3 linked regions of the Macaca fascicularis genome follow. The protein of the gene in region 1 purifies or fractionates together with the protein of each later gene. This does not show direct contact. Links are inferred from orthologs where the notes say so. Each region holds a gene or a part of one and is shown on either strand. Other genes may lie near its edges.

The links.
Region 2: the proteins of SRPRB (region 1) and SRPRA purify together in Homo sapiens (affinity purification with mass spectrometry; 6 studies listed by BioGRID and IntAct, counting the BioPlex papers as one, with this or other methods). This does not show direct contact. The link is inferred for Macaca fascicularis from reciprocal best matches to the Homo sapiens genes SRPRB and SRPRA.
Region 3: the proteins of SRPRB (region 1) and STX18 purify together in Homo sapiens (affinity purification with mass spectrometry; 3 studies listed by BioGRID and IntAct, counting the BioPlex papers as one, with this or other methods). This does not show direct contact. The link is inferred for Macaca fascicularis from reciprocal best matches to the Homo sapiens genes SRPRB and STX18.

What each region holds. Positions count from the first base shown.
Region 1 is NC_088376.1:36,714,422-36,718,833, reverse strand, and holds the start of SRPRB (signal recognition particle receptor subunit beta), read right to left. Parts: upstream 2,822-4,412; 5' UTR 2,788-2,821; coding exon 2,634-2,787; intron 2,097-2,633; coding exon 2,002-2,096; intron 935-2,001; coding exon 857-934; intron 1-856. UniProt on the Homo sapiens protein: Component of the signal recognition particle (SRP) complex receptor (SR). Ensures, in conjunction with the SRP complex, the correct targeting of the nascent secretory proteins to the endoplasmic reticulum membrane system.
Region 2 is NC_088388.1:124,828,832-124,832,417, forward strand, and holds the end of SRPRA (signal recognition particle receptor subunit alpha), read right to left. Parts: coding exon 3,543-3,586; intron 3,407-3,542; coding exon 3,320-3,406; intron 3,022-3,319; coding exon 2,849-3,021; intron 2,754-2,848; coding exon 2,540-2,753; intron 2,129-2,539; coding exon 1,965-2,128; intron 1,877-1,964; coding exon 1,778-1,876; intron 1,632-1,777; coding exon 1,503-1,631; 3' UTR 532-1,502; downstream 1-531. UniProt on the Homo sapiens protein: Component of the signal recognition particle (SRP) complex receptor (SR). Ensures, in conjunction with the SRP complex, the correct targeting of the nascent secretory proteins to the endoplasmic reticulum membrane system.
Region 3 is NC_088379.1:8,633,574-8,637,220, reverse strand, and holds part of STX18 (syntaxin-18), read right to left. Parts: intron 3,225-3,647; coding exon 3,166-3,224; intron 1,607-3,165; coding exon 1,537-1,606; intron 1-1,536. UniProt on the Homo sapiens protein: Syntaxin that may be involved in targeting and fusion of Golgi-derived retrograde transport vesicles with the ER.

The sequences.
Region 1 (4,412 bases):
TCAAGTGATCTGCCTGCCTCGGCCTCCCAAAGTGCTGGGATTACAGGCATGAGCCACCAAGCCAGGACCCGTGATTCCTTATATTTGAAATATACTCCTATATACTCTGCAAGATATCCATTGCAGCACTGCTTGTAAAAACAAAGGTTATGATAACAAAACTAAATGTCTATTAACACGGTCCTGATTAAGTAAGAATTTAATTGTGTGGTATAGCAACAGAGTGGAGTACTATGCAGCTCATAAACCAACCAGGTGGTACTACGTATACAAATATAGGAGAATAAGAAAAGCCCAAGTCGTATCAGCTGTATGAAAAAAAATAATGGGCAGAACAGTATTTAAAAAGAAAAAACAATAAAGGATATACAGACATGTTTATATAAGCACAGAACATCTGGAAGGCTACACACAAAAAAAGTAAGTTACTGCTTCTAAGGAGAAGATGGGGTAGTGGGGAACGGAAAGCAAAAATTACTTTTCACCAAATATCCTTTCTAACCTTTTGAATTTTTGTACCACGTGCATGTATTACCTATTCAAAACATAAAAGGTTTAATGCCCACTCTTAAGAACTCACTGTAAAGTTGGAAAGAAGACACAGAAACAAAAAATAAGAATAAAATGTGATATAACATTACTGTACATTAAGGTACAACAATGCAGAGGAGGGCATGATTAAATCTACTGTACAGATTGTCAAGAGCAGAATTTGTCACAAAGAATATGTTTCTCCATAAAAATAAGCTACAAATGGTACTTACATCCTCAGATGAACTCATCCTAAAAATGTCCTTAACTGACACACCACAGTAAAGTAAGACTGTCAGACTCCAAAACTCCACAAACATCTTACCCTGTTATTGTTGACTCTGTATACAGCAGAGCTGTCAGTAATGGAAGTCTGAGTGTCTCTGTAAAGGCCTGTTAACAACTGTAAAAAAAACAAGATGGGAGATATTCAACATTTTAATAGCAAACCAAAATTGAGTTATATTATTCTAAGTCTCCCAGGTGTAAGGTTAAGTAAATGAATGCTGCTTGCAATAGGTGAAAAAGACCATATTAATATTTTTTACCTGTAGAAAAAAAAATCGAATTAATTGCAACTTTTACTCCTTAATGGTATAAAAATAACATTATTCTCAAAAGACAGTTAGTGGCCAAATTTCCCAATCTTCTGTAAAGATTTTTAACCATCAAAAATGATTTGAAGCCTGGGCAATGTGGCGAAATCTCATCTCTACAAAAAATATAAAAAATTAGACGGGCTTAGTGTCGCACGCCTGTAGTCCCAGCTACTCGGAAGCTGAGGTGGGAGAATCATCTGAGTCCCAGAAGTCAAGGCTGCAATGAGCGGAGATCTCGCCACTGTACCCCAGCCTGGGCATTGGAGCGAGACCCTGCCTCAAAAAAAAAAAAAAAAAAAAAAAAAAGATTTGAGCTATTTCTTGAATGGAAGGGAAATAATTTATACTCTCAGAAAGAAAAGTTAAAAAGCAGAAAACCTCTCCTATTCACCATGTTAAAACACACTGTTAAAAATACTAAATGTATTAAAAATAAATATTAGTAAAAAGAAGCTAACTAGCCCACTATGTCAAAGAAGGATCATCCTGTGAAAAAGTGTCTTTGATAAACTCTCATAAGAATTTGTTAACCAAGGAATGATAAACTGTAGACCACTGGCTTCTGTGCTTTCTGCTATTCTGGAATGAAACTAATTAAATAAAACCCTTAAATGTGATAAAGACTAAATATCAGCATCTGGCAAGGGCAAAAAAAAAAAAAGAAAGAAAAAAGAGGAAAAATGATCAACATTTCTCAATTATGGGTTTCTAAGAGTCTTTCTGTTCTCCCAAGTAAGTCAAGTAAATTTGGTAACTCTCAAATTTACCAGCATCAGCTTCTTTTAGAAAATAAACCATGAGATGACAGGAATACTGGGATGCTATACAATTTTCTATTAAGCTTAACAGGGGTGTAAATGAAATCATTTACCCTGACAAAGAGCAACGTTTTCCCGGAGTCACAAAGGCCAACAAGAAGAACAGCTCTCTGACTGCTCCTTCTGCTCCGGATTAACTTCCAGAAGACTGTGGAATAGAAAGAAAAACAACAGAAATTACGCCTTGGCAATCAGTATATGTGCATGGCTGGGGTGGGGAAATTCACAGAAGTCTGTGATGAAACACCTCATTCACCTGGAACTGACTTTTATCATAATGGTTACTATTGCTGTTGTTAGGGGCCCACTGAGCCGGGCGTGTCAACTGTCAACTTTTCTTTGCACTCCTTACTCTGACTGGGGACTCAAGTGCGATCTCACTACCTTGGTATAGGCTGAAAGTTGCTGTCAAGACCCTGAATCCTTGCACTGAGAACAGCGGAAGGTGGGGAATAGCGCACTCAAGCATGACAGGGAAGATGACGAAGAGCAATCCGCGCCCCAAAGACCAGGATGTAACTCCGGGGGTCGCCCGGGATCTCCCTTAACGCCCCGCTGCTGCCGCTGCTTCAGGCGAGAGGGTGGGGTGTAGACTGGGTGGGTCTCACCCTCCTGATGCCCTCAAGGCGCTCTCTCAGCCCGGACCTCTGCCCCGAACCCGCCATAACCACCGGCCGCCTTTTACCTAGCGTCAGCAGCACCGCAAGAACCGCCACCACTACTGACAACAGCGTTGGGTCCGTTTGCTGCAGCTCCTGCCGCAAGGAGTCTAGGTAGGGCTGGAAGGTGCCCCCAGCACCGCCGCCATCTGCCACCCGGCGCAAGTCCGCGGAAGCCATGGATGAGACGCGTGGTCTCTGTTACCGCAAAAGCGACGTGGCCCTACACTCTGCGCAGGCGCAGGGAGCAGAGCCTCACGCGAATGGTGGTTCCTAAGCCTTAGTCTCGCCCTCAGCCGCGGTGATCCCCAAGTGCCTGATGGGAGTTGTAGTTCTCTGGTACTCGGTCCTCCTGCAGAACGACAGGGGCAGACAGGTTATTGGTCGAGGGACACACACATCTTTGAAGATACGAGTCACTCGTCGTCACGTACGTTATGGCTGTTGAAAGAATGATGAAATCAATAAAATGAATGACTCCCGAAACTACCACTGAGGATTTCCTGACCGTCGCTAAGTGACGTGAGACTTGTGAAGAACTCAAGCATCCTACAAACATTTAATATTAATTTAATGTGGCAAGGGATGTGCCAGATGGATGCGCGGAGCGATGCGGGAATACATAATGGGACGCAGAGTCCATCATGAGTTCAGAGAAAAGCTTCTGGAAATTCGAACTGAGTCCTGAAGAACGAGTTAGCATGTGCGAGTGGTTAAAGGAAAAAGAGGTGCTGTGCAGAAGAAAATGAGTATAAGAAATGATGTGCGTGGGAAAGCTAACTAATTCAGTGCCCCTACACTGTCAATCTAGGGCTGCAAACTCAAACGTCTGCATTAAAGGAAGCAACTAGGAAAGTCAACGCCCAGGAGAGCTGGGGCTGTTGAAAACTGCAGAGGTTATTTCTGCTGAAAGTGGGGCCGACCCTATTCAGCCAGGTAGGTGTTGTGGGACCTAGGTGGCCAGTTCTTCCAGTTTTCAAGAGAAGCAATAAAGGCAGGTTTTTATGGGAAGTTTTCCACTTTTGGAATTTTGGTAGGTAATTGAAAGCATTCAAAAACTTGTGGCCCAAATAAAACACCAAAAGTGGCCAACCTCGAGGGTCCCAGTTCACAGTCTCTGTCATTAAACAGGTTGTCATTGTTTTAAAATGTACACATGATTTAATTTAATTGTATGACTGAGTAGAGACACGAAGATGTCAGTGTCACTGAAAGATTGAAAAAAGTTACTACAGTTCCACATTGCCATTGAAAAAGTTGTCAGAATCAAAATGGAGTCACTTTATTTATTTATTTATTTAAATCAGAAAAATGGAGCTGGTGAAAGGCCGTGGAGGGAGGGTTCTCATGCACTAATGCCTGATGACAAAAACTGTCACAGAAGACTGCAAAAACCACAACCGTGCACAAAGGGCATCGCAACCTTACACACAAAAAATATGTCTGTGAGGACAGCTACCCAGCAACTGCCTGTCCAGCCTATTACTGATGCTATCCTTGCTGTTTGATCCTTGTAGCCGAGGATAATTATCTCAAAACAGTTATGGAATCTGACTCATTTTTTCTTTAAAAATCTTTGTCTTCCTTTACACCTCCCTGAATGTGCACATAGTTGAAATGGCATACATATTCCCACTGCAATGCCTACTCGTGAATAAATGTTATTTTCTTTTAGAGCCTCCCTCTCTGCTTGTCATTTAGCTTGATAACACTCAGGGCCACACAAAACCTCAACGTGCACAGGGACAAGGAAAAAGAGAGGAACTGGCATTGGACCTGGTGACTCACAGCTATTAATCCCAGCA
Region 2 (3,586 bases), on another chromosome or scaffold:
CATGCTTGTGTCCGCACAGCACACCAATGTGATACCTCCACTGACTGGCTGCAGCTCTGCATGGACTCGGGGTCTAGATGCCATGGAATCACTGTGGCTCTTGTTGCAGTTTTGTACTCTATACTTGGTTTTTCAATTAAGCTTAATGGCTTTTTTAAAACATGACTTGAAGCTCTAGTTTTCTAGATCTTTTACAGTGTACAGTATTTTACATAACTGAGCTGTATTAAAAGCTTGTTCATTTACTTGCCAGGACCCTGGCTCTACTTTGAGAGTCATTGTAGAAGACTCTAACTTGCATCACGGTACTAACTAATAAGCTTAATTTTACTAACCCCAATTTTAAAGGTTCTGACATCTTTCACCTTGGGGTGATCTCATTCTTAGGACAACCGTTTACTTACCTGATTCCTTGGAGTAAACTTCTGCTCTGTTGTCCTCACCATATATAAGCCCTAGAACTATAGTTAGTGTGTTGTGGAATTTTAGTTTTGAATCCTGTATAAAAGAACTCCAAGACCTAAAAGGCAATTTATTTATGAAATTTATTTTCTTATATAAATTACTTATTTCTCTGGGCAGACAGCCTTCACCTTATTGCACTAATAGCACATCTGTAATATCAAGCTACAGGACAAGTCTTAACAAGAGGTTTGTATTCTTCAACGTAGCACTTGTCTACCAGGCACTGTAGAGGGGAGTGATGAGGAAAAGCCAGGACTGCTTAGGAGGATGGGAGGGGAGGGGGCAACATATACCCTTCTCACAATTGGTTTCCTCCCAGGAAGGGGAACATGCAAAGCTGACTTCTGGATTCTGGGAATGGGAAGAGTTGGGAGGCGGAGAAGCCCAATGCAACCCTGCAGCTCACCTCCCTTTATTTCTGAGGGAAGCAGGGACTCATCTTTTGCTCATTTGTAACAAATCACTCCAGCCTAGCTGACGCTTTGGGGTAAACAATGGAGTAGGAATCATCATCAGAATTAGAATTAGCAGCAATTAACAGGCAATACACTGCCACAGTGAGGCGGGTGTCATCCAGGTCCTGGGGACCTGCAGGCTGTGTATCCTAGGGAGAGGTGCCATTCAAGACCTGGCGCTGGCTCTGGAAGAGTCTCTTAACCTAATGCAGCTGGGACTCATTAGGCTCAGACGGCTCCTGACCACACTAATTATTAGCAAAGCTCTGGTGTTGGGTTCCAACCATTGGTCAAAGCTGTAATGAGACTGAGTATGTAGGCAGAGTGAAGGGGGTGCCTGAGTAGGAAGGGGGAGACCTGCTGGGAGAGGGTCAGTGGGCAGTGATTTTAACATGATTAGGCCCTCCTTGCAGATGGCGGCTGTGCTGAACGGGGAATGGGGTTGGAAGGAGCCACAAGCCCCCTCGCTCTGCCTTTGTACTACACTGAAGACAAGTTGCTCACATACTCTAAAGCACATTCTTGATACAGGAAGAAGGGCTTGTGGGGAAAGCGGCGATTTGGTATTGGGCAAGAGCCATGTTAAGCCTTCATGAGGGCAGCCACCACAGCCTTGGCATTGAGGCTGCGTAGGTCACAGTAGGTCTGGCCGGTGCCCACAAAGACGATGGGTTTGCTTGTGATGTACGTCATAGAAATAGCAGCTCCCACCTAAGTGGAGAAAGGGGACAGCCAATCAACACGAGCCCACTTTTCACTCGCCCTCTTAGGAACAGGAAGCGCTGGAGCCAAGGCTTCCTTGCAGCCTCAGCTCCTTTGCGGAGGATGCCCACTCCACCCTCCAGTCTCACGTTTACCTTGTCATCAATGGTATCAAATTTGGTAAGAACAATGCCATCAATGAGCCGAGGTGTCTGAGCCATAGAATGGTCAGCCAAGGCTCTATTGAACTTGACCTGGAAAGAAAAAAGGTGACAGAAGTGTAAGAACCATGTACATTGACTAAAGCTTAAGTTGTAAAGGGAACTGGGCCCACACTCTCACCAGCTGGTCCACGGCTTCATTGCCTACTAAGGCTTCTCCTACAAACAGCACCAAGTCGGGTGTATTGACAGTAATGAGTTTGGCCAGGGCAGTCATCAGAGGGGCATTGTCTTGCATGCGGCCCGCCGTGTCCACCAGCACCACGTCAAAGCCTTGGTTACGTGCTAAAGAAAGAAAGTGGTCAACTCTGAAAACCTGGACTACAACTAATCTCATTCCCAGCTTCCTTTCAGAAAATCCTAGTTTGGCTACCTGTTCACTGTCTTGGGCCCTGGATTTGGTTCCAAGGTAATGTGAGACAAACTTGATTGTATGCTTGGCCATCACCAAACATGTTCAGGAAAAGGAGGATAACAGGATAAAGGTGACCAAATTCAGGCTTCTTTGGTTAGGGTGTATTAACTTTGCCTGCAACTATATCTATTACCCAAAAGCAGAGCATGGCAAGTAACTGATCTGACTTTTTACTGTAATTAACGAGTCTGTAGTAGCACAAGCCTGATCTGCAAATTCCAAGAGAACCAAAGGAGGAAAAGGGACCCCAAATAAGCCCCCCGACTTCCTGTGCACTGTACCAAAAGCAATGGCTTCCATAGCAATGCCAGCAGCATCCTTGCCATAGCCCTTTTCAAACAACTGCACCATGGTGCGGCCACCATGCTTCTCTGGAGGGTGTAGGGCACTCAAACGCCGGGTGTGTGTACGCAGCTGCTCCACAGCTCCGGCACGAAATGTATCACAGGCAGCAATGAGGACACTGAAGCCATTCTCTAACAACCAGAAGGAAATCTGTGAAAAAGAAGTGAGAAAAGTCACCTAAAGCCAGGATTTTGAGACACGAGAAGTACACAAATATCAGCGACAGGCTGGGGAACTGCACTGACCTTGGCAAGATTAGTAGATTTCCCCACTCCATTAACACCACAGAAGGTGACGACATAAGGGCGCTGGCGACGCTGGGCGTCCATGATGTCCCGGAGCATGTCTACACGACGCTGTGGCTGCAGAATCTGCACCAGGGACTCCTGTAGGGCTTGCTTTACTGTGGAAGTCACCGCTGAAAGAGGAGGTGGAGGACGTTTGCAGCTGTGTAAAGAATGCTCTCAAAAATGCCTAACACCTTTCTGAGCTAAGGGGACTAAGACAGTTAACTAGACTCTTTTCCCAGAAATCCAGAACAGACGCACATTACAAGGACTAACTCATTTAATCCTCTCAATAACCCTTAAAATCTAGGTTACAGAGGTTTAGAGGTTAAGGATTTTGCCAAAAGTCACATACCTCGTAAGAACAGAGGTCTGTGCACTTAACCTCTTGGTACACATAAGCACTTTCTCACTTAGGGCAGTACTTACTGCTGAACGTCCCCATCACCTTCCCTTCCAGCTTGTTGGCAACGGATTCACAGAGCTGGACGGCAATGTCTGCAGCCACGTTCTTAGCTGAGGAGGGGGACAGGTAGGTCAGTTCCATGTCAGCAACAACCAGTCTTTATCGTGCAGGTGAGAAACGCTAGTGAGTCTGCGCTCAATTACCTGTATCCCGTGAACATGAGTCAGCCCGGTCCTCAGAGCTTACCAATTAGATGATCACGCATCTTGTCCAGCACAGATTCCATGTCT
Region 3 (3,647 bases), on another chromosome or scaffold:
GCAACGGTGCTAGACGGCCTTATGAGCAGGAGTGCCTGCTTCTCTCCTCCTTTTGGCGGTGGTGAAGCTGCTTCCTAACACGGTCGGGTGGAATGAATGCTAGTGTGGGTTTTTAGAGAAACCTGACACATTTTAGGGAGGAAGGCAGCCTCTGGCCTCTATTCCCAGCAATGAATATTACCGAGATGGCTTTGCCCTGTCATCACCCCATTTTAGAGAATCTCGAAGTGTGAGCTAAGTGACCACTGCCAAGGTTCCAATGAGAGAATCAATATGAACTACAATGTAACACTGATGAAAAAAACAAGAAACACATATCGTTCCTCAGGACTTAGAAACTCCTGGTGGGCCGGGCCTGGTGGCTCATGCCTGTAATCCCAGCACTTTGGGAGGCCGAGACGGGTGGATCACCTGAAGTCAGGAGTTCGGGATCAGCCTGGCCAAGATGGTGAAACCCCGTCTCTACTAAACATACCAAAATTAGCCAGGCGTGGTGGCATGCCTGTAATCCCAGCTACTCGGGAGGCTGACTGAGGCAGGAGAATCGCTTGAACCCAGGAGGAGGTTGCAGTGAGCCAAGATCACAACACCACTCCAGCCTGGGTGACACAGCGAGACTCCGTCTCCAAAAAAAATAAAAAAAAATAAAAAAAGAAACTCCTGGTGAGCCAAGGCAAGGCTCTGCCTGTGCTCTGCACACCCCTTCCAGGCCCCCTGCAGCCGCTGGGAGGTTTGAAGCAGGGTAGTGTTATTCAAAAGAGCAACTCCTATGAACCCGAACTTCCAAACTGCTGTTAGACTTAATGTACCTCATTTACAATGATTTCACTCTGGCTGTGTGGTTTATGGAAAGTCATTTTGAGAGAAGTATTTTAAGTTAAGTAGTTTAACATACTAAGACAAAACGTTCCCATTGTCTTTGGGTGCTAAAAAGAAAAGGGCAAATTTATTAGGTCACTAAAAGTTTTGCCAGTTATTGGCTGGAAGAATTTCAGAAAATTGACTTGAAAAGAACAATCCTATTTCCCATGCAGGCACCATCCCTGAGGCGGCATGGACCTCGCACTGTGAGAGGCCTGGGCCTGAGCTCCTGTAACTCTACTGACAGAAAAGCAACTGCCCGTCAGCATCGTTCTGTAGTTCTCTCTCAAATGGAGAACAACCCTGCAGGGGTCACTCCAATCTATAGATGGAAACTGTTGCCTGGCCGGGCTACCTAGCTCACCCAGCACATCCAGAACCCTGACTGCCAGGCCTGGACTCTCCTCCCACATGCCACTGCATGCGCCACCACACGGCGTGGTCAGTGGGGCCAGTGGATCCCCTGTGGGGAGCTCCTCCTCCGTCACACGTGTGCAGAGGCAGCTCTGGGTAGTGAGAGCTTTGCCCTGAGGAGCTCTGCGCACGCACACCTGCTAGCAACACATGGCTCTGCTCCTGGCTGCGCAGAGCAGCAGCCTTTGGGAAAATGTCTCTCAAGTACATTCCCCTTTAAGTTAAAACGTACAGCTACTTTGTTTTTGTTTTTGTTTTTACCTGTTGCAAAACCTTTTCCGTGAATATCTCTTGGAGTCTGGAAATCTCAACCACTCTCCCTTCGATTTGCCTTCATAAAAAGAAGAATAGATTACATATTAACTATTAGTACTTGGTAATCTAACAGGACTGTTACACATTTCTAAAGAAATCCTGTCTTCTACATGAAGGTGGGAGAGACGGGGGAGCATACCATGTTGGCTGGGGGAAGAGATTGGAGAGGAAGGCAAACTCTCCTTACTGGGTCACCTTCCCTGTCTCCCGGTGTAGCCTAGCACGCTGGGCTTTTTGGAAGTCCACTCGACCATGCCAACTGAGCCCCAGTCCCAAGAGGTGGGTGTGGGCAGTGCCCTTTGCATTCTGTGTCACTGGTCAAGGACCGGGGAGGGTCTGGTTATGCCCCAGTTACAGAAAGCAGTCTCCAGTAAGTTCTCTGCCTAGCCTTGTCACCATGGTAACACATGGTGGGGATTCAGAAGGTCAGAATATGCTGATGATCCTGCTTTGTTACTGCTCAGCGGGTTAAAGAAAAAAGTGTATTTACCCTCAAACCAACTCCCTGTTCCAAGAAAAAAGCTCCTCTGATTCATTTAGAAAATGCCATGTCTTGGTTTGGCAATGGAGTGTTCTGTCGGATCGGAAACACTTGGGCTAGCCATCTTCCTGGTGTCAGGGGCAGCCTGGGCTACCCTGGGGGACAGGTGGGGGCCCATCTATTTACAAACGGAAGCTGGCCCAGGCTGAAGTTAACTGCTGTTCCAGCACAAAGCAGCGACAGGAAGTGGCAGGAGGCGAAAAGTGGTGGGAGCTGAGCTCCTGGCCAGGTGGAAGCAGACACGAATCCCAACAGTGTCACAGTGGCAGGAGGGCAGGGGAGGAGATGGGGGAAGAAAAGCCAGTGAGTATCTGGGCATGGGGGAGTAGCGGGGACGGACAGTGAAAGGTAGGCTGTTGGAGGAGGACTAGGAGGTCCATCTGAGGGCAGAAGGCGAAGAGCCCCTGGGAGGCTGACACCTACACTGAGAAAATCCTCAGGCTGTGTGAGTGCAGCATCAGGATTGATTTGATTTGGGGGACATGTCCACAATACAACAGGCTCTGCAAAGTCCCGGGCCTTACTTTCAGCATGCTGCAGGCCTTCCCACAGAAACTAGAGTTCAGTGGGTGCACGTGTGGGTGACCAAGGCCTTGCCTTCTGCATTCCTGACCCCCTGGGGGGTACAGGAGCAGGCAGACCCCAGTGGAGCCATTTGCAAAAGAGGGCTTCCCTTGGTCAGCTGTCCTTCACGAGGGCCCCATTTCATTTCAGAGTCGCTGCATGGAAACAGCCCAAATGGTGGTGGAAATTACACGCAGGTAATCTGCAGTCACTCCTGCATCTCTTGGGGTAGAAAGCATCTGGGCCCCCCGCAGCAGTGGCAGCAGGCGGGAGGTAACCCACAGGCCCACAGGCTGAGGGAGTTGTAGATTCAGGCCACATGCCCACCCCAGCCCTGTCAAAATGGCTGAGGGGGGCTGCACCAGCCCAGGGGCCCCATGTGGATGCCTGGGCACCAAGGTAAATAACGTTCCTAGTTCCTGGAAAGTTGTAAAGCAGGCTCTCAGCTCACAGAGGAGCCACAAACATACCTCACTTCATCAAACAAGCTGTTCATTTCACCAATGAGTCGCTGATTTTCCTGTTCAAACTGCGAGGAAACAAACACACTCAGGATGACATCATACTGAACTCAGGCAAGAGTCTAACAAGAATGCGGACCTGCGCTCCAGGAACCACTGGCAAAGCCCCCATTTCCAGCTGCAGCAACATGGTGGCCGGTGCCGGATGACCGAGAGCATTAGTGTGAACAACGCCCCTGCTTTCAGGAGAAACTTTTAAAACACAGCTGTGCTGCCTGGTAATCGACTTTTCCATCTCAACCACTGCACTCCAGGGGTGCAAGCTGACTGCTATGGCTGTAGCTGTATCTACTTATGCGCTCTCCCCTGGGCTCCCACGGCCAGCTTCCTGCCTCTGGTACCATTATTAAAAAAATTCTTTTGTTGTTGTTTTCTCTCATGAAGTATACTGAAGGACTACACATATTTTTTAATATGGAGAAGGATCTGGT